2 linked regions of the Oryctolagus cuniculus genome follow. The protein of the gene in region 2 purifies or fractionates together with the protein of the main gene of each other region. This does not show direct contact. Links are inferred from orthologs where the notes say so. Each region holds a gene or a part of one and is shown on either strand. Other genes may lie near its edges. The genes, in order: CRCP and POLR3GL.

Region 1 (12,824 bases), on a different chromosome or scaffold from region 2:
CTTGGGGGGGGAGAAGGCAGCACCGTGGTGTAGTGGGTAAAAGCCACCTGCTGTGTCAGTATCCCATATGGGTACCAGTTTGAGTCCTGGCTGCTCCACTTCTGATCCAGCTCTGTTATGGCCTGGGAAAGCAGTAGAAGATGGCACAAGTACTTGGGCCCCTACACCTACATGGGAGACCTGGAGAAGCTCCTGGCTTCAGATAGGCTCAGCTCTAAGCCACTGTGGCCATCTGGGGAGTTAACCAGCACATGGAAGACTTTTTCTCTTTCTCTCTGCCTCTGCCTCTCTGTAACTCTGCCTTTTAAATAAATAAATAAAATCTTAAAAAAAAAAAAAGCCAACAACAAAAAACTTCTGGGGGCAGGCATTGCAGTGTAGCAGGTTAAGCCACCGCCTGCAACGTAGACACCCCATAGGGGCACCACTTGTGTCCTGGCTGCTCCACTTCTGGTCCAGCTCCCTACTAATGTATCTGGAAAAGCAGCAGAAGATGGCCCAAGTGCCTGGGTCCCTGCAGCCACCTGGGAGATCTGGAAAAAGCTCCTGGTTCCTGACTTCAGGCTGGTCCCGCCCTGGCTGTTGCAGCCATATGGGGAGTAAACAAATGGATGGAAGCCCTCTCTCCCCCTCCTCTCTGCAACTCTAGCTTTCAAATAAATAAATAAATCTTTTAAAAAATTTTAAAACCATCTGGTGTCTGTCTTTATATACTTTTACATACCCCATAGCTGAAAAAAAAAATAGTAAAAATGTAAGGGAGTGTTTCTTTCAAGCCTCCACGCTACAGGTCCTAGGAGCGTCTGATAGAGACCCAGTATGTATTTACTGAAGAGTCAAAGGCCCAGAGAGGGGTCACAACTCATGTTGGAGACCAGGCAGCAACCAGAAGTGAGGTCTCCAAACCTTTCCACTACAGGGGCCACTCCACTTCTAAATCATACATCCACCTCAGAAAACCTCTTTTTCCCATAAACTACAAAATTGGTTTTTTTAAAGATTTGTTTATTTGAAAGGCACAGTGACAGAGAGGAGGAGAGACAGAAAGAGAGAGGAAGAGGAGATCCTCTGTTCATTGGTTTACTCAATTGTCTGCAACAGCCAGAGCTGGGCTAGGCCAAAGCCAGGAGCCAGGAACTCCATCCTGGTCTCCCCATGCGGGTGGCAAGAGCCCAGATCCTTGCATCATCATCTGCTGCCTTCCTAGGCACATTAGCAGGAAGCTGAATTGGAACTTGAGCAGCTGGCACTCCCAAGCAATGCCTCAACTTGCTGTGCCACAATGCCCACCTACTGCAAAATTCTTGATTGATTTCAGTAAGTCACTGACTCCTTGGGAGAAGCATACAGGTTGTTACAGGAGTAAAAACCCTAGATTCAAACTGTTTCATTTAGGAAATCAGAAAATCTATATGCCCAGAAATTAGGATATTAGTTAATTAATTTATAGTTATTAAACTAATAAAGTTTTGTTATATTACTTCATTCAACAAGTATTTCTTGAATGCCTACTGTGTGCCAGACATAGTGCTAAGCACTAGGTAGACATATATTGGTCCCTGCCTTCATGATACTAAACAACTAAATACTTCTATTATTAAAACTTGTGGCCAGCACCGTGGCTCAATAGGCTAATCCTCCGCCTGCGGCGCCGGCATACCAGGTTCTAGTCCTGGTAGGGGCGCCGGACTCTGTCCTGGTCGCTCCTCTTCCAGTCCAGCTCTCTGCTGTGGCCCAGGAGTGCAGTGGAGGATAGCCCAAGTGCTTGGGCCCTGCACCCACATGGGAAACCAGGAGAAGCACCTGGCTCCTGGCTTTGGATCAGCGCGGTGCGCTGGCCGCAGCAGCCATTAGAGATGAACCAATGGAAAAAGAAGACCTTTCTCTCTGTCTCTCTCTCTCACTCTCCACTCTGCCTGAAAAAAAAAAAAAACCACTTGTAATTTTTTTAAAGATTTATTTATTTGAAAGAGTTACAGAGAGAGGAGAGGCAGAGAGAGAGAGAGAGAGAGAGGTCTTCCATCCAATGGTTCACTCCCCAATTGGCCACAACAGCCAGAAGCCAGGATCTCCCACGCGGTGCAAGGGCCCAAGGACTTGGGCCATCTTCTACTGCTTTCCCAGGCCATAGCATAGAGCTGGATTGGAAGTGGAGCAGCCGGGTCTCGAACCGGCATCCATATGGAATGCCAGCACTTCAGGCAAGGGTGTTAACCTGCTGCGCCACAGCGCCGGCCTCAAAACTTGTAATTATTTAAGCAGAAAGTAAACCAAGGCGATGAGAAAGGGAAAAAAAAAGCCGGGGTGGGGGGTGGGGGGGACTGATTTTGGACTGACTAAAGAGCAAAGGCATCTTTAAAGAGACACTCCATCTGATAAGGGGGCAGGGCAGGAGAGTTATACCAAGGAGAAGGAATAGCAATTCAAAGATCCAAAGGGAGGAATGGGCTTGGAAAGTCAGAGGAACAACCTGACAAATTGTGTACTTTGAAGGGGATGACAGTGACAGAGATACAGCTGAGGCAAGGTTATACAGGGTCTTGTAGGTCCTAGTAAGAAGTGCAGATTTTCTTCAAGGACAATGGAAAGCCAATGAAGGGTTTTACACAGCAGGTGACCCGATCCAATTAATATTTAAGCTCACTCTGGTTGCTACATAGACAAAGCAGTGAGAGCCAAACAGCTATTTACTTAATCCAGACCAGAGATGACAGACTAGAGTTAACAGTGGAGCTGGTGAAAAGTAACCCTATATTTAAAATGTTTGAAATGTAGAGATGACAGGACTGGCTGATGGTTATGGGTATGGAAAAGGGGCTAGGTTTGTGCTTTAAGTAACAGGAAAAATGGGAAAAGGGGATCAGAAATGTATTTCAGGGAACAATCAAGTTATAGATGATTAAAATGACCAAGTGAGAGAAAATAGAGAGAAAGCCTCCCAGGACTAAGAAACATTTAGATGCCAAACAAGGGAGGAAGGGCAGCCAGGGAAGGACACTGGGAGGTCCTTGCTGTAGAAGACAATCCAGGAGAGCCTGACACAAGGCCAGGAGTTCTAGCATTTCTCTATCAATTGATGCTGAGGGATCAAGAAAGCTGAGGCCAGAAAATCAGTTTTGGATTCGATAAGACAGAGGCTCAAGTAATCTTCACAAGAGCCATTTCTGCAATAAGGATGAGTCCAACAGCAGGCCAAGTGAATTAGGAGATATAACAATTTTCAAGAAGTTTTGCTGTGAGGGGAAGCAGAAGTGTTGGGCAATAGGTGGGCAAGAATAGGTGAAATAGAAATAGGTGAGGACGAGGGATTGTTACAAGATGTACGCTATGGGTATTAATTTGAGTGCTCAGTGTCTCCCAAAGGCCCACCTGTTAAATATCTGGTGCCCAAAGTCTTATGTTAATGGCACTAAGAGAGTAGAAACTTAATCCAGTTATGATATTTGAAGGCAGAGCCTTTGGCAACGGATCAAATTGGGTCATTAGATTTCAACCTCCATTATTAAAGAGACCACATAAACATGCCCATTCCCTGTCTCTTGCAATATGATTTGAGGATTCTGCCAACATGAACGCCATCACCAGACACTGAACCAATGAGATCTACCCCATCTTGGACTGTGAACTAAAGAATCCTTCTCTCTTTATAAAATTAATTGCCTCAGGTATTTCATAAAAAGCTGACCAATACAATGTATAGGTTGAACTGGCCTGTATACTGATAGGAAATACTCTGGTAACGTGGGAAAATTAATGATGATGGCTTATATTAATTTATGAATGATTTCATGTTGCAGGCTAAACCCCATTAGTGGGTTGCTTGCAAACTTAATTTAGTGGGTCAACTTTTAGTAAACTAGACAACAGCAGAGTAAACTGAATAACTTAAAATATGGACCTGGGGCCAACACAGTGGCATAACAGGTAAAGCCACCGCCTGCAGTGCTGGCATCCCATATGGACACCAGTTCGAGTCCCGGCTACTCCACTTCCAATCCAGCTCTCTGCTATGGCCTGGGAAAGCAATAGGAGGCCCAAGTCTTTGGGCCCCTGCACTCGTGTGCAAGATCCAGAAGAAGCTCCTGGCTCCTGTCTTCGGATTGGCACAGCTCCGGCTGTTGCGGCCAACTGGGGAGTGGACCAGTGGATGGACAACCTCTCTTTCTCTCTGCCTCTCCTCTCTGTGTAACTCTGACATCCAAGTAAATAAATAAATCTTTTTTTAAAAAAAGTATGTACCTAGGCCAGCACCGCGGCTCAGCAGGCTAATCCTCCACTTGCGGCGCCAGCACCCCGGGTTCTAGTCCCGGTTGGGGTACCGGATTCTGTCCCAGTCGGTGCTCTTCCTGTCCAGCTCCCTGCTGTGGCCCGGGAGTGCAGCGGAGGATGGCCCAAGTCCTTGGGCCCTGCACCCGCATGGGAGACCAGGAGAAGCACCTGGTTCCTGGCTTTGGATCAGTGCGGTGCACCGGCCGCAGCACGCCGGCTGCAGCGGCCATTGGGGGGTGAACCAACGGAAAAGGAAGACCTTTCTCTCTGTCTCTCTCTCTCACTGTCCACTCTGCCTATCAAAAAAAAAAAAAAAGTATGTACCTGTCATTTCCGTTTTATATGTAAATAGTGAAGTTAAAGTAAAAAAAAAAAAAAGTCTGGGGACCAGCACTGTGTCTAGAACGTTTACCTTCCACCTGCAGTGCTGGCATCCCACATGGGTACCGGTTTCTTCACTTCTGATCCAGCTCTCTGCTATGGCCTGGGAAAGCAGTAGAAGATGGCCCAAGTCCTTGGGCCCCTGCAACCACATGGGAGACCCAGAAGAAGCTCCTGGCTCCTGGTTTCCAATTGGGCCAGCTCCAGCCATTGCAGCCATTTGGGGAGTGAACCAGCGGATGGAAGACACCTATCCCCCTTCCCCTCCCTCTCCCCGCCTCTCTGCCTTTCAAATAAATAAATAATTCTTTATTTTAAAAAAAAAAAAGGTCTGAAAACCACCAGTTCATAAATCACTAACCACGAAGCAAAAATTTAACCTAAAGGAAAATGTTTTCATCGGTGCCACAGAAAACACAATATAGACATGCCTACAAGTTTACACCAATCATGTAAAAAGCCACATGCAGAGTAGAAGCAAAAGTTTCTATCTGTACTCGGTACGATGAGGAAACATGGAAAAGATCACGTGGCGTTAAATTGCTGGAACTTTTACTCCTTGCTTATACCGTGCACACACCCGCCTCGTACTGCTTCTGATCCAGTCCAGATACAATTCCTTCTCCCAGAAGCCCCGCCCCCTCCCCTAAAGGGCCGATAGCTCCTCAGCAAACTCAGATGCCACCTCTTTGTGAGGGTTTCTCAGGAGCCCCCTACCCCCAAGCACAGCTCTGTTCCAACCCGCAGCCATCTCTCAAGGGCTTTATGCTTTCCAAGTCCCCGCTCGGAAACCAGGTCGCGCTGCCACTGGGACCCAGGAAAGGCCAGTAAATGAATGAGGGAGGGAGGAGGCCCACTGAAAGCCAGCCGACCGAGTCTCACTGGGCCGGGCGCCCCAGACACCGGGAGCGGAGGTTCAGCGCGGCAGAGCGAGAACCCCCGTCTTCCTCGGTCCTCCACTCCCAAGACCCGGCCGTCGCCGCTGAGCCGGAGTCGCCGCTGAGCCGGAGTCGCCGCGCCCTCAACCCTGTCTCTAACAGCTCTCGGCTCCCAGCGGTCTAACCGTCTCCAGCCGTGCACCCAGACCCAAAGCTTACACTTCCATGTCGTCCTCGCGCCCTCGGCCCCAGCAGCCTGCAGATAAGGAGCCAGCCGCGGCGCCGCCGCAGCTCCCCTAACCTACACAGCACTCGCGGCGGTCGCGGGCCTCCGCGGTGCACGCTGGGATCGCCGCGCTGCACGCCGGGATCGTGGTGGAGCCGGGAGGTTCTCGCGGCCGGGCGCCGCTCGCCTGGCCGAGCGGGCTGTCTAGCGTCTGCGGACGGGACTTAAGCAAAGTGTTTTCACGAGTTAAGCTTCCGAAGGCGTGGTCGTTTTTGTAGGCCTTTGCAGTGTTAAAAAAATCCCAGGGCGGGGGCCAAGAGGAGCTGTGCTCTTCTTCGGATCCAGCTCTGCTATGGCCTGGGAAAGCACTGGAAGATGGCCGAGTGCTTGGGCCCCCGCACCCGTGAGGGAGACCCAGATGAAGCTCTTGGCTCCTGGCTTCAGAGTGGCCTAGCTCTGGCCCTTGTGGCCGTTTGGGGAGTGAGCCAGCTGATGGAAGACCTCTTTCTCTGCCTTCCCCTCTCTGTAACTCTGCCTTTCAAATAAATAAATCTTAAAAAAAAAGAATAAATAACCTTAACCTGAACAGGCTGTGTCTGAGCCCTGGGGCTGGGGCTTTTCTCGGAGTTTGCCCAAAGTACATTATCTTTCTTGAGGAAAGATGCGCAGGATGGGATTTTTTTTTGCTTGGAAATAGCCAAAATGCCCAACAATGGAGAATTGATCATGCTTCAGCCATGTATGTAGGCATGCAAAGTGGATAAACACAAAATGGAATATTACTCAGCCATAAGAAAGCATGGAGTACTGACATTTGAAACAAAATGAAAGGAATTAGCATTATGCAAAGTCAAGCCACAGAAAGACAAATACATGTTTTCGCTCATATGTGGAATATATACGCATGTGTGTATAGTAAAAATGTGGATGCCATATTATTTGGTGTATATTTATAAATGTTGTCTTCACGATTTATATCCCTACACAATAATGCAGCCTTATTTCTTCATTTTATGATCTTTGTCATGAATCCCATGTTATATTAATATATCCACCCCTGATTTCAAAAAATATGAAGTATATTTACAAATGAAGTGAATATGGAAAAGTGTTAAATGAAACGAATATGGAAAAGTGTTAAAAAATAAATATATGTATGCTCAGTGAACGCTATACTCCTCTGTATTCTTTGAAATATTACAAAATAAAAACATTTTCAGGATAGGATATTTAGGAGCTGGCACTGTGAGCTCAGCCTCCACCGCAGCACCAGTATTCCCTGTGGTGCCAGTCAGTGTCCCAGCTGCTTCACTTCCAATCCAGCTCCCTGCTATGGCCTGGGGAAGCAGTAGAAGATGGCCCAAGTGCTTGGGCCCCCGCACTGATATAGGAAACCTTGAAGAAACTCCTGGCTTTGGATAGGCTCAGCTCCAGTCTTTGTGGCCATCTGGGAAGTGAACCAGCAAATGGAAGACCTCTCTCTATGTCTCTCCCTCTCTGTAACTCTACCTCTCAAATAAATCAGTAAAATCTTTGAAAAAAAAAAAAAAAGGCTACTTAAAAGATGCAAGTTGATGTGGCGTGACCTAAAAAAAATCATATAGGAAAAAATTACCTAAAGGTATTGGGAGGTATAGCCATTTATGTGTTAAAAACAACTGGGAAGGTTGATGTCTTTTGCCTTCTCTATATGTTGATATGTTTGAAGTGTTTTTTAAAGACTGGAAGGCAATATGGCAGAATATGAACAACAGCAGGATGGTAAGTCAGTTGCTACTTTTCTGTTTTTTTAAAATATACATTTTGACAGCATATCAGTTATCATTTACTAAGTTCATTCTTTTTGCAAGGCTTTTGCTAAGCACTATGTTATTCCGTGATATTAACAGTGCAAGCTTTGCAGTTAGCCAGCCTGTGATCCATTCTCCTCCATCACTTTCTTTTTTTTTTTCTTTCTTTTTTCAAAGATGTATTTCTTTGAAAGGCAGAGTTACAGAGACACAGAGAGATTGATCTTCCATCCACTAGTTCACTCCAAAATGGCCACAGTGGCCAGGCCTGGGCTGGGCCAAAGCCAGAAGCCTGGAACTCCATCCAGGTCTCCCACATGGGTGGCAGGGGCCCAGGTACTTAGGCCATCTTCCCCTGCTTACCCAAGTGAAATAGTAGGAAGCTAGTTCAGAAGTAGGGCAGCCTAGAGTCTAACTGGTGCCCATATGGGATGCTGGCATCACAAGCTGCAGCTTAACCCACTGTACACAACACCAGTTCCGAAAAATGCATTTTCTTAAAACATTTATTTATTTGAAAGGCATAGTTTTAGAGAGAGGCAAAGAGGAAAAGATCTTCCATCTGCCCAAATGGCCACAATGGCCAGGGCTGGGCCAGGCCAAAGCCAGGAAGCTGCAACTCTACCTGGCTCTCCCATGTGCCAATTTCCACTGCTTTCCCAGGCTCATTAGCAAGGAGCTGAAGTGGAGCAGCAGAGACATGAACCGGTACCCATATAGGATGCCGATGACACAGGTAGGGGCTTTACTGGTATACCACAATGCTGGCCCAGAAATACTTTTTTCAAATAATCTAACTTACTTTAAAAAAAAAAAAAAGATTTATTTATTTATTTGAAAGGCAGAATTACAAAGAGGCGGAGAGAGAAAGAGGGAGGGAGAGAGAGAGAGAGAGAGAGAGAGAGAGAGAGGTCTTCCTTCCATTGGTCCACCCCCAAAATGGCCACTACGGCTGGCATGCTGCGCCAATCTGAAGCCAGAAGCCAGGTGCTTCCTCCTGGTTTCCCATGCGGGTGCAGGGCCCGAGCACTTGGGCCATCCTCCACTGCCTTCCTGGGCCACAGCAGTGAGCTAGACTGGAAGAGGGGCAACTGGGACAGAATCCGGCGCCCCAACCGTGACTAGAATCCGGGGTGCCGGCGCCACAGGCGGAGGATTAGCCAAGTGAGCCGTGGTGCCGGCCAATCTAACTTACTTTATTTATTTATTTTTTGACAGGCAGAGTGGACAGTGAGAGAGAGAGACAGAGAGAAAGGTCTTCCTTTTGCCGTTGGTTCACCCTCCAATGGCCGCCGCAGCAGGCGCACTGCAGCTGGCGCATCACGCTGATCTGAAGCCAGGAACCAGGTGCTTTTCCTGGTCTCCCATGGGGTGTAGGGCCCAAGCACTTGGGCCATCCTCCACTGCACTCCCGGGCCACAGCAGAGAGCTGGCCTGGAAGAGGGGCAACCGGGACAGAATCCAGCGCCCCAACAGGGACTAGAACCCAGTGTGCTGGCACTGCAAGGCAGAGGTAACTTACTTTTAAACTCAATAAATAAATATCACTCCACACACAACTGACTTGATTTATGTGGAGCACCCTCATACCTCATACCTCCCTTGAGAAGAACAGATTGTGTAAAAAAAAAAAAAGTGCTAAAGATGCTCACTGTGTTATTCATTCAACAAACACGTAGCACTGGCCCAGTGGGTGCTGATGATGAAAGTGTGAACAATACACACCCTCTGCTGGCTAGCCCACAGTCTAGCTGGGAAACCAACTCTAGACATAATTAACTCCAATATGCTGTGTTTAGACGCCATGGAGCAGAAGAGGGAATGACTAATGAGGTGGAGAAGCGTCCCAAAGCCAGGATCTTCAGGCAGGATTGGGGGAGGAGCACACAAGGCCAAGGTGTGTAAGAGAAGCTGGTGTCTGTGATGGCTCAGGTGTGATTTACTTTATTTTATTTTTAAAGATTTATTTATTTGAAACACAGAGTTACACAGAGAGAGAAGAAAAGGCAGAGGCAGAGAGGGGTCTTCCATCTGCTGGTTCACTCCCCATTTGGCCTCAATGGCTAGAGCTGGGCTCATCCAAAGTCGGGAGCCAGGAGCTTCTTCCGGGTCTCCCGTGTGGGTGCAGGGGCCCAAGCACTTGGGTCATCTTCCGCTCCTTTTCCAGGCTGCAGCAGAGAGCTGGATCAGAAGTGGAGTAGCCGGGACTCAAACCAGCGCCCTTGCCAGCACTGCAGTCAGTGGCTTTACCCACTGTGCCACAGTGCCAGCCCCAAACCAATTGTTAAAAATGTGAAATATCTCCCCGACCTTGTTTCTGTGGTGAAATGATTGATGGGGATTAGAATAGTATCCGTAACAAGCTGCATTAAATATTAAGTTCTTGCAGTCCTGTTTCTAATCATCTGGAAAAGCAGCAATGAACAGAAACATCCAGTCAGCAGTCAGTCTGTAGTTCAGTGTCTCAATGAGGCATGTTTCCAGATAAAACAATACCAGGTAGACCGGGAAAGGTGAGGTTGGAGAAAGATAGGTATGAGAAAGCAGTTTCAGAAGAGAGGACTTCCGCCTGGGAAATTGGGAGAGAGGCCAAGGTGATGTTAGATAGACGCTGAAGAGGGGGTAGAATCTGGCCTGTGGAGAGAGTGGTGATCTTGAAGCTGAGTGTCAGTGGGAACAAAGGCATGGGACTGGGACAGAGCAGAGCAGACTAAAGGGTGTGGCATGGGGGCGGACATTGTGGTGTAGCAGGGTTGGGCACCTGCTTGTGATGCCACCAGCAACCCATATCAGAGAGCTGGTTTGAGTCCTGGCTACTCTGTTTCCCATCCAGCTTCCTGCTAATGTACTGGGAAGGCAGGGGAAGACGGTCCAAGTACTTGAGCCCCTGCCACCCACATGGAAGACTTGGATGAAATTCCTGGCTCCTGAGGCTCCAGCCTGGCCCAGGCCTAGCTGTTGGCGCCATTTGGGGAGTGAACCAGCAGATGGAAGGGATCTCCTACCCGCCCCCCAACGATTTCTCTCCTTCTCTCCCTGTTGCCCTGCCTTTCAAATAAATGCATATTTGTTTGAAAGTCAGAGTTACACAGAGAGAGAAGGAGAGGCAGAAAGAGAGAGAGAGGTCTTCCACCCACTGGTTCACTCCCCAGTTGGTGGCAACGGCCAGAGTTGTGCCGTTCTGAAGCCAGGAGCCAGTAGTCTCCTCCAGGTCTTCCACACAGGTGCAGGGGCCCAAGGACTTGGGCCATCTTCTACTGCTTTCCCAGGCTATAGCAGAGAGCTGGGTCAGAAGTGGAGCAGCCAGGACTCGAACCGGCACACATATGGGATGCCGGCACTGCAGGTGGCAGCTTTACTGGCTACACCACAGCACCAGCCCAAAACTCATAAATCTTTAAAACAAAAATGGTGTGGCATGATAAGGATGTACATCCAAGAAAAGAAGCAGCATTCAGTTGTGTTCAGTCTCCAAGAAGAACTGCTGCAGAAAACACAGGCAGGGGATGGCGCTGTGGCACAGCAGGTTAAAGCCATGGCCTGTAGCCCTGGCATCCCATATGGATGCCAGTTCATGTCCTGGCTGCTCCACTTCCACTCCAGCTCCCTGCTAATGGCCTACAAAAAGCAGTGGAAGATGGCCCAAGTCCTTGGACTCCTGCACCCATGTGGCAGACCCTGAAGAAGCTCCTGGCTTCGGCCTGGCCCAGCCCTGATCATTGTGGCCATTTGGGGAGTGGACCAGAAGATGGATGATCTTCCTGACTCTTCCTCTCTCTCTCTCTGTAACTCTTTCAAATAAATAAAATAAATCTTTTAGAAAACAAAAAACAGGCACAGCAAGTGATCTTGGAGAAGAAGCTGTGCAGAGAAGTAGGATGAGGTTCAGATCCATTTCTTGTGATCTAGGAGCAAGAATTGTCACCCTGGTGACAGCCATCATTCCTTTGTATTCCTGGGGGATACACAGGAATGAGTGAGAGGGTGGTTATAGGTATGAACATTGCAGCCATACAGTCTGAGTTAAATCCAGTCTCCATTACATACTAGCTGTGTGTGTTTAAGTTTCTTATCTTTCTATGTCTTTGGGGAACACATTTGTAAAACAGCCATGCCCACACCTCCCTTACGGAGTTGCTGTGCTTAGAATAACATCCAGAAGTGGGAAGCATGCTTTCAAAAGATATGACTATTATCATGGCCATGGCCCACATTGAAAACAACCAAACAAGATTTACCCAAAAAAAAAATTGTAAAGTGATGGGTGGATGTTATCCAGTTCTCACTGCAATGTGCTGTCCATCCTCGTGGGAGGATCACGGAGCCCTTCATTGCCCCCACCTTGCCCAGAACAGTTGAGCTGAGTTATATGCTTCCAATGAGTAGAAAACATGCACATGGCCATTCCAGGGCTGGGAGTGGTGTGAGGGATGAGCAGCCAGGGTGAGATGCATTTTCCTGGAGTCTGTTCCTTGTGTCCCCAAAGATGTCCACACCCCAGTCCCTCAGAACCTGTTCATATGTCACCATACAGGGCTGCACCAGTACATTTTTCATTACTGTAATGGAATACCCGAAGCCAGGTACTTTATAAGGAAAAGATGATTGTTCACAGTTTGAAGGCCAAAAGTCCGAACATCATGGTGCCAACTTTTTTGTTGTTGTTGTTTATTTATTTATTTGAAAGTCAAAGTTACACCCAGAGAGAAGGAGAGGCAGAGAGAGAGAGAGAGAGAGGTCTTCCATCCGATGGTTCACTCCCCAGTTGGCCCCAGTGGCTGGAGCTGTGCCAATCCGAAGCCAGAAGCTTTTGCCAGGTCTCCCACATGAATGCAGGGGCCCAAGGACTTGGGCCCTCTTCTACTGCTTTTCTAAGCTGTAGCAGAGAGCTGGATCAGAAGTGGAGCAGCCAGGACTCGAACCAGCATCCATATGGGGCGCTGGCGCTGCAGGCGCCAGCTTTAACTGCTACGCCACTGTGGCGGCCCCAACTTTTTTTTTTTAATACTTATTTATTTGGAAGTAGGAGAGACAGACAGAGATCTCATATCTGCTGGTTCATACCCTAAATGCTTGCAGCAACTGGGGTTATGCTAGGCTGAAGCTGGGAGCCAGGAATTCAATCTGGGTCTCTCACATAGGTGGCAGGAGCTTGAGCCATCACTGCTGCCTCCCATGGTCTGCATTAGTAGGAACTGAGATTGGAGTCAGGACTCAAACTCAGGTACCTCTGTATGGCATGCGAACATCCTGAACAGTGTCTTGAGTGCTGCACAAAAT
Region 2 (11,675 bases):
TACATGTATATATTAAATACACATATATGCATATACATGATGTAATATATGCATATATAAATTTGTACATAAATCTCTATATATAATGTATATATTTTATATAAAGGCAGAGTGACAGAGAGACAGAGATCTTCCGTGCTGCTATCCATGTGGTGGCAGAGACTCAAGTACTTGGACTACTATCCACTTCCTTCCCAGGTACCTTAGCAGGAAGCTGGATTGGAAGTTGAGGAGCCATGACTCGACCTTGCATTCAGATATGGGATACAGCTGTCCCAAGTGGCAATTTAACTTGCTGTGCCATGATGTCCACGCTTATGTGGTTGATACTGCTTTTTTTTTTAAGATTTATTTTATTTATTTATTTGAAAGTCAAAGTTACAGAAAGAGGTAGAAAAATGGAGAGAGGTCTTCCATCCACTGGTTCACTTTCCAGATGGTTGCAAAGGCTGGAGCTGTGCCAATCCGAAGCCAGGAGCCAGGAGAGCTTCTTCCAGGTCTCCCACGTGGGTGCAGGGGCCCAAGGGCTTGGGTCATCTTCCACTGCTTTCCCAGGCCATAGCAGAGAGCTGGATCAGAAGTGGAGCAACCAGGACTTGAACGAACCAGTGCTCATATGGGATGCTGGCACAGCAGGCAGTGGTCCTACCCACTACACTTCAGTGTCAGCCCTCAAATGGCATCTTAACTGCTAGCTGTAAGCCAGGAGCTTTTTCTGGGTCTCCTTCATGGGTACAGGAGTCCAAGCGCTTGGGCTGTCTTCTATTGCATTCCCAGCAGAGAGCTGGATTGGAAGAGGAGCAGCCAGGACTAGAACTGGCACCCATATGGAATGGCAGCACTGCAGGTGGAGGATTAACCTACTGGGCCATGGGGTCAGCCCCTGTTATTGTTGTTTTATTTATTTGCAAGGCAGAGAGACAGAGAAAGAGCTCCTATCCACTGGTTCACTTCCCAAATGCCTATGATGACCCTGAGGGGATGAAGTCAGGCGTGTGGAACTCAATCCAGGTCTCTCGCATGGGTGGTAGGAACCCAGTTACTCAAGCCATCACATGCTACCTTCCAAGGATTGCATTAGCAGGAAGCTAGAGTCAGGAGCAGGAATTAGATCAGGAATCCAACCTGGGTACTCTGATATGGGATGTGAGTACTTTATTTTTTTAATTTTTTTTTATTTTATTTTTTGACAGGCAGAGTGGACAGTGAGAGAGAGAGACAGAGAGAAAGGTCTTCCTTTGCCGTTGGTACACCCTCCAATGGCCACCGTGGCCCACGCACTGCAGCTGGCGCACCGCGCTGATCCAATGGCAGGAGCCAGGTGCTTCTCCTGGTCTCCCATGGGGTGCAGGGCCCAAGTACTTGGGTCATCCTCCACTGCACTTCCCTGGCCACAGCAGAGAGCTGGCCTGGAAGAGGGGCAACCGGGACAGAATCCGGCACCCTGACCAGGACTAGAACCCCGTGTGCCGGCACCGCAAGGCAGAGGATTAGCCTAGTGAGCCACGGTGCCGGCCCAATTTTTTTTAAGATTTATTTATTTATTTGAAAGGCAGGAAGTGAGAGAGAGAGAGAGAGAGAGAGAGATCAATCTTCCATCTGCTGGAGCTTCATCTGGGTCTCCCAGATGAATGGCAGGGGTCCAAGCACTTGGGCCATCCTCTGCTACTTTGCCTGCATTAGCAGGGAGCTGGATTGGAAATGGAGGAGCCAGGACTAGAACCAGCTTAACCCTCTGTGCCACAGTGTGAGCCTTGTTTTCCCAATTAAAAATATCATATATTCTTATAGTACCTTTGTTACAAATAATGAACCAAATTGTTACATTATTAGTAACAAATCCATGCTGGACTCAGACTTATTTGTTTTTTAACCTAATACTCTTTTTTTTTTTTGCACCAGGATTCCATCCAGGATGCCACAAGATATTTAAGCTGCTCTTGGCTGTGATAGTTTCTAGGTAGGTAGGGAGTAGTAGTCAGATACGATGAGCACTGCCCTTCCACTGGAGTCTGTCTGATACTTTTCTCATGACTAGACAGGGGACATGGGTCTGGGGGAGGATGATGAGTGAGGCCACGTGCCGTGCCACATATCATATTTATTTTTTTTGACAGGCAGAGTGGACAGTGAGAGAGAAAGAGAGAGAGAAAGGTCTTCCTTTGCCGTTGGTTCACCCTCCAATGGCCGCCATGGCTGGCGTGCTGCGGCCGGCGCACCGCACTGATCCAAAGGCAGGAGCCAGGTACTTATCCTGGTCTCCCATGGGGTGCAGGGCCCAAGCACTTGGGCCATCCTCCACTGCACTCCTGGGCCACAGCACAGAGTGGCCTGGAAGAGGGGCAACCAGGACAGAATCCGGTGCCCCCACTGGGACTAGAACCCGGTGTGCCAGCACCGCAAGGCGGAGGATTAGCCTAGTGAGCCGCGGCGCCGGCCGCCACATATCATATTAAGGGCATACACTATCAATATGGCTCATGGCTATTGATGTTGATCTTGGTCACCTGGCTGAAGTACTGTTTGTCTGGTCTTTCCACTACAAAGCCGTTCTGTAACTTGCCCTCAGCTTTCCAAAACTGCGTCAGATGAAATTTCTCATACACAGTCCACATGTAAAGAGTGAGGGTTATGCTCTTGCTGTTTTAGGGTGGAGTATCTACATCACTATTTGGCCATTAGGAACTGTTTCAGTTCTGGCCCTGAGGCCTTTTGACATAGCCCCATATGGCTTTTGTGTGTGTGTGTAAGATTTATTTATTTGAAAGTCAGAGTTACACAGAGAGAAAAGGAGAGGCAGAGAGAGAGAGAGAGAGGTCTTCCATTGGCTAGTTCACTCCCCAATTGGCCACAATGGCCAGAGCTGCACCGATCTGAAGCCAGGGGCCAGGAGCTTCCTCTGGGTCTTACCACAAGGGCTTGAGCCATCTTCTACTGCTTTCCCAGGCCACAGCAAGAGCTAGATAAGATGTGGAGCAGCTGGGACTTGAACCAATGTCCGTTTAGGTTTTACTCACCGCACCACGGCACTGGCCCCTGTTGTGGCTTTGAGTGAACCCTTACATTTTGGCACCTTAAAATGCTCCAGACTCTTCTTGTGTGTTTTCTGCCCAGTCCTGGAATCAGCTCTTTTCCAAAGAGCCCTGGTTCTTTTCCTAGGAAAATGGTATTAGATCTGGGTACTGTTTGCTGCTGGGATGTCACTTCTTTCAGGTTTCATTTTCATTTGGGGATTTTATCACCCATCCTAGCTGTCTCTGCCTGACTCCTCAGCACCGACAGCAGGAGACAGAGTTCAGTTCAGCAGAAGAAGGAACTTAGGGTTCATCATAGTTGACCACAGTAGAGTGGACTGCCTTGGGAGAGAATGGACACCTTGTCCATGGGAAAATGCCCCCAGAAGTGGCATAATGAACAATTAGAGTAGTTTTACCCTGCGAAGGGTTTGGACTAGCAGACCTCCAAGGATGCTTCCAATTTTAAGAATCTGTGCTTCTAAGTGGTGCTCAAAAGGAGTAGTTTTTATTTTCTCCTGGTTGACAGTGAGGTTGGTAGCCCCTCCCTGTGTCCCCCGCCCAGTGCCTGCATGCTGTCTTGTTTCATAAATGTTTTGCTGAAGTCGTTACATTGGATTGAATTGGGATTTTGGTTGGGTTGGAAAGGCAGGGAGAGAAAAAATTCAAAGCTTATATATAAAAATGCAGATAGTAATTTTCTTAGTAACGTAGAAAAATTTTGTTCAAGGGTCTAATCGCCCACTTCATTATACTGTAATGACACCATATTGTAATTATCTGGCCAGTTGGGACTGTGTCTTATCCATGTTGATGTTTTCATAAATACCTGGCCTGACAGTATGTCTTCTCCCTCATAATCTGTTGAATGATGTTGATTTTCAAGTCCAAGGGAGAAAAGGTTGAGTGTCTTCTATCTTCTTGGCCCTCTGTCCATTCTCCTGTACTTTTTTTTTTCTCTTTGTTTTTGTCTCTATCAGGTTTTTCTCACGAGATCTCGGAGTATCCAGGCCCCCTCTGCCATGGCCAGCCGGGGTGGGGGCCGGGGTCGTGGCCGGGGTCAGTTGACCTTCAACATGGAGGCCGTGGGCATTGGGAAGGGGGATGCTTTGCCCCCACCTACCTTGCAGCCTTCTCCGCTCTTCCCGGTGAGTATCTCCCCTCTCTCCCAAAGATTTCCACATGCCCCAGGCTGATCCTATATGACCCTGGATTCCTGGACCCCTGCCTATCAAAACACCATCCTCCTCATGCCCCTCCCTTACCCTATACTCCCAGTTCCCCAGTGATGTTTTCCAGACAAAGAGGTATCTTCCCTTACTTCTCACACCCCTAGATTGCCAGATTTCACAGTGCTGTGTCACTCCCCCATCCTATTCTGGCCCTCTGTGTAGCAGGGGCTTTGGATTAAAACAGGGGCAGAGGCCTTCCTAGGTTTGTACTGCACCGCTTTCTCCCTCAGCTGACCGCTGCCCCTGCCTCCTTAGCCCTTGGAGTTCCGTCCAGTGCCTCTGCCCTCAGGAGAGGAAGGGGAATATGTCCTGGCACTGAAACAGGAGCTACGAGGGGCCATGAGGCAGCTCCCCTACTTCATCCGGCCAGCTGTCCCCAAGAGAGGTCAGTTGCAATGCCAGCATCACGTTTGGGGTGCCTACTGAGCAGTGATGTCCCCTGCTCAGCTCCATGGGGGCTGGAGACGCACAAGAAATGCACTAACCAAGACTATAATTCCTTCTGTATCTTTATAGTATTTGTGGTTTGTTTTGGGGTCTCACAGAAGCCTTGGGACAGGGGGAAATTAAATATTAAGATCCCATTTCACCCGTACAAAGGAGAGACACATTAAGAAATTTAACAATCTGGTTATTAGAGACACTGACCAGTCAGAAGGAGGCTGGTGCCGGGTCTCGGAGTGAAGTACTCACCCTTGCCTGGTGGGTTAAAGCGAGGCCAGGGAGCCCAGTGAGTGCCATTGTGAGACCTGGGACAGTGGATATTTATCAGCTGGGAGGGACATAGAGTACTTCAGTGCATTGACAACTGGTGCTTTCCTGGATGAAAGGCCTTAAGTTAACCCCATTAATAAAGGGTAAAGAACTGACAAAAATGCTGGTTTCTTGTCCCCTAGTGTCTGCTCCACTGCAGCACACTTCTCAATATAACCATGGCCTTGAGCTAAGGGAGAAAACAAATCGTCATCATTTGGGGTGGTGAAACTGCAGACTGGAAGAGTGATGCGGTCTTCACTTGGGCTGACACCCTGAGCTCTGGGTTTGGGGTGAGAGGACTGCTGATTCCTGAGTATTGAGAGGGCTGGGCCCTCAGGAACAGCCCCGTTCTAGGGGCTCTGAAGGAATACAACTTTGACCCTTGACCCCTCAGATGTGGAACGTTACTCGGACAAATATCAGATGTCGGGGCCGATTGACAATGCCATTGATTGGAACCCTGGTAGGTGCTGGGTCCTTCATCCACTGCCTTTCGTTCAAACACTTGCGATATCTCAAGCCACCCTCCTCCCTCTGTCCATCCAGAATTGTAAACCAGAGCCTTGGCTGTGCTCCAAAACGCCCTCAGGGTCTACCCGGGAAACCCATTAATAACGCCCACTCCTCGGGGAGGCGTCCCGACCAGTTTTGTTCTGAACACCTTGGACCCAACCCTTTCCTTCCTGTCCTTGAAAGTCAGTCACCGTTCACCGGTGACCCCAGGCAGGGTCCCGTTAATGTGTGCATGCCTGCTGTTCCCAGACTGGCGACGTCTACCCCGGGAGCTGAAGATACGAGTGCGGAAGCTACAGAAGGAGCGTGAGTGTATCTGGACAGAGCTGGGAGAAGTTTCCTCCGCCAGCCCAAGGAGGCCTTTCCCCTGCTTCCCCAGTTCCCACCCAATCAAGCGCTGTTGCCAGATGCTGTGGTAGCCACTTGAGGGCAGCAGAGTGCCATGTTCCCTGCAGGAGGGCAGGCTAGGCAGCCGGCCAGGAAAATTGCTATCTGATGGTTCACTTTTTGATCCCTCCACCAGGGGCCCCCATTCTACTCCCTAAGAGGCCGCCTAAGACCGCAGAAGATAAGGAGGAAACAATACAGAAACTGGAGGTGAGGTGGAAGTGCGCCGAGAGACCTCCTGGGACCCTCACCCAGTCCCTCTCCCTTGGCCTGTGTGTGCCTCAGTTTTCCCTTCTGAGAGCTGAATCTGAGTCTCTTCCTGTTCATCTTCACGCGAGACCCTGGAGAAGAAGGAAGAAGAAGTGACCTCGGAGGAAGAGGAGGATAAAGAAGAAGAAGAGAAGGAAGAGGAAGAAGAGGAGGAGTATGATGAAGAAGAACATGAGGAGGTGAAGGGGACCCCCTCCTCTCCTCCTGCTCTGGGGTCTCAGCTCTTTATGCCAAGGTGTTCTGCGAGACACCTAACTGCCTCTGGAGTAGAGGCTTCCCTCCTCTTCCTGTGCCCCCAGGCCCTTCTCAGAACAGCTGCAGGTGGAAGGGCTGTGCAGGCTTGGAGTGGTGGGAGTTTGGAGGGAAGGGGCCTGGGACCCAGGCAGCAAGAATGCCAAGATGATGCCTGATTGTACTTTTTTTTTTTTTTTCATTTCAGGAAACTGATTACATCATGTCATATTTTGACAATGGAGAGGATTTTGGGGGTGACAGTGATGACAATATGGATGAGGCTATATACTGAAGAAGGGCCTGGACTCACATCGTCCTTCATGTGGGATGCAGGCAGTAGCTGTCCCTATTTGGTTTTGTGCATGAGAACTCATTTGGTCAGTGTCCAGATCACCTGTGTTTGGTCCCCGGAGCCACAAGTGGACAGCGGTGCCGGACAGCAGTCTCTTCTCTCTTTCTCCTCTTCCTACTTTTGTGTCACCTCTTCTCCTGGGGAAAGGGAAGAGGACCCACGTCCTCACTGTTTGAAACCAGTAAGAAGAATGGACAGAGGAACCCAGCTTGTTGGAGCTGAGACAGCCACACATACGCCCCCAGCCCATTTTACTACTCTTGCCAGAGGTCACTGGGGTGGGAGCCAGTTTTATATTTTTAAATAAAGGCCTTTTATCTGTTTCCCTGTCCTGGATGAGGCCTGGTGGGAGAGGCTAGGGGAATGACGGGGATGCTGATCTGAGTCTCATGTGAACACAGGATCACGGCCTGCTGTCTTTGTCCCTTCCTCCTCTCCGCCATGACAGGATACATGCAATCTGGGCTGTCAGGGAACTCATCTGCAGGGCTCTGCAGAGCGAGCTGCCGAGAAAAACAGCCCTGCCGCCAGCAGCCCTGCCAGCTGCTGAGCCTCGGCTTCCCAGGCTGTGGGGCTGGGATCGCCTCTGTTCACACCTGTTCACAAGGTCACAGGCCCTCTCTTTCCTACACCTGACCTTCACTTTGTCCTTATTTACAAAGAATGGTACCAGCTATTTTTATGGAGAGAGTCAAGAAAGCCAGGTGCAGGGAGGGAGGAGGGGAGAGGCACTGACTCCTGGGCACACTCACTCCTCTGCCAGCCTGGAGGCCCCACTTGGAAAGGCATGTCTGGCAGAGGGGGCCCCCTGTCCTACTCTGCACCTGCAGAAGCTGGTGTGTGCAGTTTCTCTTTTGCTTCTTCCCTTTGTGGAATTTAGTTAGCCTTTCTCACTCCCTTCTGGGGGGAGGGGAGTAGGCGGTGTTGCTTTACAGGAAGTAAGATGGGTGGGGAGGCGGAGAGTGACTTAGGGACACTCATAGAGCTGCGCCCACACAGTTTCCCTTGGGTGAGGTCACTTCCCCAGGCTCTGATTGGCTTCCGAGGAAGCCCTAGGTGAGCTGATTGGTTGCAGGCACTTGCCATGCCACAGTCACGGGCGAGCTGCGTGTCCAGAATAGGAACTGAATCAGGAGACATGCACAGATATCTGGGATGCTATCATAGTAACTCTCTGAGCATTTGCAAGTCAGAATGTAGGAGAACCTTCGAGAAATTCTCTAAGTGCCTTAGACAGCCTGACTGAATCCCTACAGCGTCAAATGATAGAGACTGACGATCTGTCCCCATTGCAGAGAATGAAGAGGGGCTGAGGCTCCACTTAAAGCACGTTAAAAGCCCAATTTGGATGTGTTGGTAGGTGCTAGGATAGAAGTAGCCAAGAAAGCAGAGAAGGAAACAAGAATAGAAACAGAACATTCCAGAGTTATTGCGCAATTTGTGATGATTGACGTGTTTCCTTTTCTGGCTGTCTAAGGTATTGTGTGAGTGGAGGTTGGGAGGGGCCAGTGGACCGAAGTGGGGTTTCCCATAATTATATTTCAGCCTGTGGTTGTAGTTAGGGAGAGACCGACAAAACACTTAAGTCAAAGACTCTGACAATTTAACTTTTGCCTTTCTTTTTACACACACACACCAGTCCTAACCTGGTCAGTTGGACCTTGGTCTGTGTTTGGGGCACAGCCACCCACTAAATCCCATTTAATTCCACTCTGGGAACTTAAAAGACTGAGAACAAAAGTTCTGGCTGAGAGACAGCACAGGAGGGCTGCGGCCACATTCCCACTCCCACTGCCCTGCATGTGCAACTGGAAAAGGAGGACAAAGGTCGGCGTGGCCACTTGGGATCTGTTGTGCTCCTCAAAGACAAGGTGTGGGAAAGCGCAGCCATTCTTGGACTTGGCCCTGTCTGGCCTCCTGCCTCTCTGGCAGATGACTTTGCTGGACAAAGCCTGAGACACGGGACCCAGCAGCTTCCCCAGATCCTGGAGTAGTTCCAGTTATGAGCTAGGCTGTCTCCATGGACCTTTCCCCAACTTACTGAAGGTGCTTTCAGGCAGACGAGGGCTAAAGCCTGGGGCCCAGGTCAGGTCAGGGCTACCGTTCTCTCCAGGGGACTACCAGAGAGGTCAGGGCCTGGGGCCTGCTTACAAACTGAACAGAGCACCCACACGGTACCTGCTCACCTTTGTGCCGCCAGCCTGCTGCAGCCTGTTTACACTGAACAACAGATCACTCTCAAACCCACAGCCTGGGCTGCGCTGGCCCCAAGCAGGATCAGGTCTACGGCAAGAATTCCGCCCTTCCCTGCCCTGTGATCCTTCCTTAGCCTCCTGGTCCCCTCTCACTCTGGGCAGACAGCTTGAGCGTGGGGTCTGTCTGTACATACGCTCTAGGACTCAAGCGGTTTGAGGGCGGCCTTACTGGGAGCCCTGGACGCAACATGTAATTTCTACTGGGAGTGGAAAGCAAAAAAAAAATAGAAGGTCAGAGGTCAAGGGGAAAGGATGACTAAGCATCCGTGGTTCCTTTCCTTGATTTCTATTGCAGTTTGAGCTTCGAAAGAGAGGAAGCGGGGCTTGTAGGTGTAGACTCGTTAGGAACCAAGCCAAGTGGAAAAACTGCTACCTCAGTTGGACAAAGCACCCCTTATGATCCAGCCTCACTGCTCGGTCGCTTTGTACCTTTGGGAAAGTCCTGTGAGTCTGCATGCATCAGCTTCCTCATGTGTGAAATGTGAATTTGGACAGATGGCCGCTAGGAGGACTTCTAGCTCCCACACCGCAGGGTGATACCAGTCTACCCACAAAAGTCCAGATCTACCCACAAAAGTCCAGATGCTCCTGAGAACAAAGGCAGGACACATCCACTTTTGCTGACCTCCTGCCATCCACTGGATTTCCCCACCCTATTTTCAGCCCAGGAGGCTAAAGATACCTCAGGCAGCTAGCCAGTCCTTTCCAAGAACTGCTTCAGCCAAGTAGCAGGAAGATCAGCAATTTTGTCAATTAGCAAGAAAGGAGACAAACCCCGAAGCAGAGTTCAAGGTCACCATCTGCAAGCTATGTTAGACCCTTGGAGTGAGGATGCTAATACGTCGAGAGGCACACCCCAGAGACTCAGACTCCAGACCAGCTGATGCAAAAGCAAGAGGATTTATTTGTCATCTGCGCAGATGGGCCTCCTGAACTCGGGAGTCCAGAGAGTGCCCCCAGCACAAAGCCACACGGTTTATATACCCGCAGCGACCAATCAAAAGCACTATAGAGTCCATGCACACAGCAGTCCAATCCGCGAGCTGATCATGTAAAGGGAATGCATCTTCTATCCAATCAGCTACGGGATCACATGGGAGGCCATGCACACAGCAGTCCAATCCGTGAGCTGATCATGTGAAGGGCATGCATCCTCTATCCAATCAGCTACGAGAACACATGGGAGGCATGCAACTCGTCGCCATTTTGTTGTTTACTTTTTTAGTAGTTCCTTTCCCTGCCAGCGCCATCTTGTTCACCCTGAGGGGGATGACATCTCGCTCCCTTTGTTCCCCTGGTGGGAGAGCGGCGTCCCACTTCCCACACCGTTATTTGAGTATTAGGAGGCATACAAACTGGGTTAGGTCTTAGCACAGCCAGGCACAAGTGTCGCAGCTAGCTAAGCATAGGGTCCCTTATTTTTATAGCTGCACCTAATTTTAGCTTTGGGGGAAAAAGTTTAGGGCTATAATTTTTAAACTTTAATTTTATTTGGGGCAAAGGTAACTTCTTGTTTTTAATGGTATTGGCTTAGGTCACTCCATCTTGGTTTGATTTTGAAGGTTCTTCAGCTAGAACTCAAATCAAGCAGGCCACCAATAGGTATGTGGCCGAGGAAGAGGTTAGGAGGGCGGGAGCTGCCATCTCCTTTCATGTGAGGGTACTTTAAAAGGTTCATGGAAAATGGAATTTAAAATATTTTTTTGAAAAAATTTTGAAATGTATACATATGAAGTATGTTTAAAAAGATCATAAAAGTGCACATTATTGGGGCTGGTGCTGTGGCGCAGCGGGTTAAAGCCCTGGCCTGAAGCGCCAGCATTCCATATGGATGATGGTTCTAGTCCCGGCTGCTCCTCTTCCAATCCAGCTCTCTGCTATAGTCTGGGAAAGTGGTGGAGGATGGCCCAAGTCCTTGGGCCCCTGCACCTGTGTGGGAGACCCAGAGGAAGCTCCTGGCTCCTGGTTTCAGACTGGTGCAGCTCCGGCCATTGCGGCCATCTGGGGAGTAAACCAGTGGATGGAAGACCTCTGTCTCTGTCTTTCCCTCTATCTATAACTCTTTCAAATAAATAAATCTTTTTTAAAAAAAGGAAATGCATATTATTTAAAATCTATGCTGGAGCCAGCATTGTGGCATAGTGGGCTAAACTGCTGCCTGCGATGCCAGCATCCCATATGGGCCTGGCTCATGTCTCGGTTGCTCCACTTCCAATCCAGCTGTCTGCTAATGCGCCTGAGAAAGCATCACCCTGCACCCACATGGAGACCCAGAGGAGGCTCCTGGCTCCTGGCTTTGGCCTGGCAGAACACCAGCCATTGTGCCATTTGTGGAGTGAGCCAGTGTATGGAAGATCTCTCTGTCTCTCCTTCTCTTTCTGTAACTCTGCCTTTCAAATGAATATTTAAAAAAAAAAAACAACAAAAATATGCATGGATTTCAAAATATTTTGCACCAAAAACAACATATTTTAATTCCATTTTTCCATGAAATTTTTTAAGGGCCCTTGTATGTCACATTTGGCCAGAAGACAGAAAAGAGAAATTGTCTAGACAGAATTGCTCAGTTAGTTAATTTGGCCAGACCAGGGGAGACTTCTACTCTACTGACCTTTCCCCAGCTGAAGTCTGCCTTTTCTCCAAGGTCATTTGGGACCACAGA

The links.
Region 1: the proteins of POLR3GL (region 2) and CRCP purify together in Homo sapiens (co-immunoprecipitation; 3 studies listed by BioGRID and IntAct, counting the BioPlex papers as one, with this or other methods). This does not show direct contact. The link is inferred for Oryctolagus cuniculus from reciprocal best matches to the Homo sapiens genes POLR3GL and CRCP.

Annotation. Positions count from the first base shown.
Region 1 is NC_091450.1:66,187,646-66,200,469, reverse strand, and holds the start of CRCP (DNA-directed RNA polymerase III subunit RPC9), read right to left. Parts: upstream 5,996-12,824; 5' UTR 5,756-5,995; coding exon 5,748-5,755; intron 1-5,747. UniProt on the Homo sapiens protein: DNA-dependent RNA polymerase catalyzes the transcription of DNA into RNA using the four ribonucleoside triphosphates as substrates.
Region 2 is NC_091438.1:48,911,057-48,922,731, reverse strand, and holds the end of POLR3GL (DNA-directed RNA polymerase III subunit RPC7-like), read left to right. Parts: intron 1-1,902; 5' UTR 1,903-1,960; intron 1,961-3,994; 5' UTR 3,995-4,036; coding exon 4,037-4,162; intron 4,163-4,501; coding exon 4,502-4,631; intron 4,632-5,396; coding exon 5,397-5,465; intron 5,466-5,764; coding exon 5,765-5,821; intron 5,822-6,038; coding exon 6,039-6,112; intron 6,113-6,240; coding exon 6,241-6,351; intron 6,352-6,611; coding exon 6,612-6,698; 3' UTR 6,699-7,081; downstream 7,082-11,675. UniProt on the Homo sapiens protein: DNA-dependent RNA polymerase catalyzes the transcription of DNA into RNA using the four ribonucleoside triphosphates as substrates. Specific peripheric component of RNA polymerase III which synthesizes small RNAs, such as 5S rRNA and tRNAs.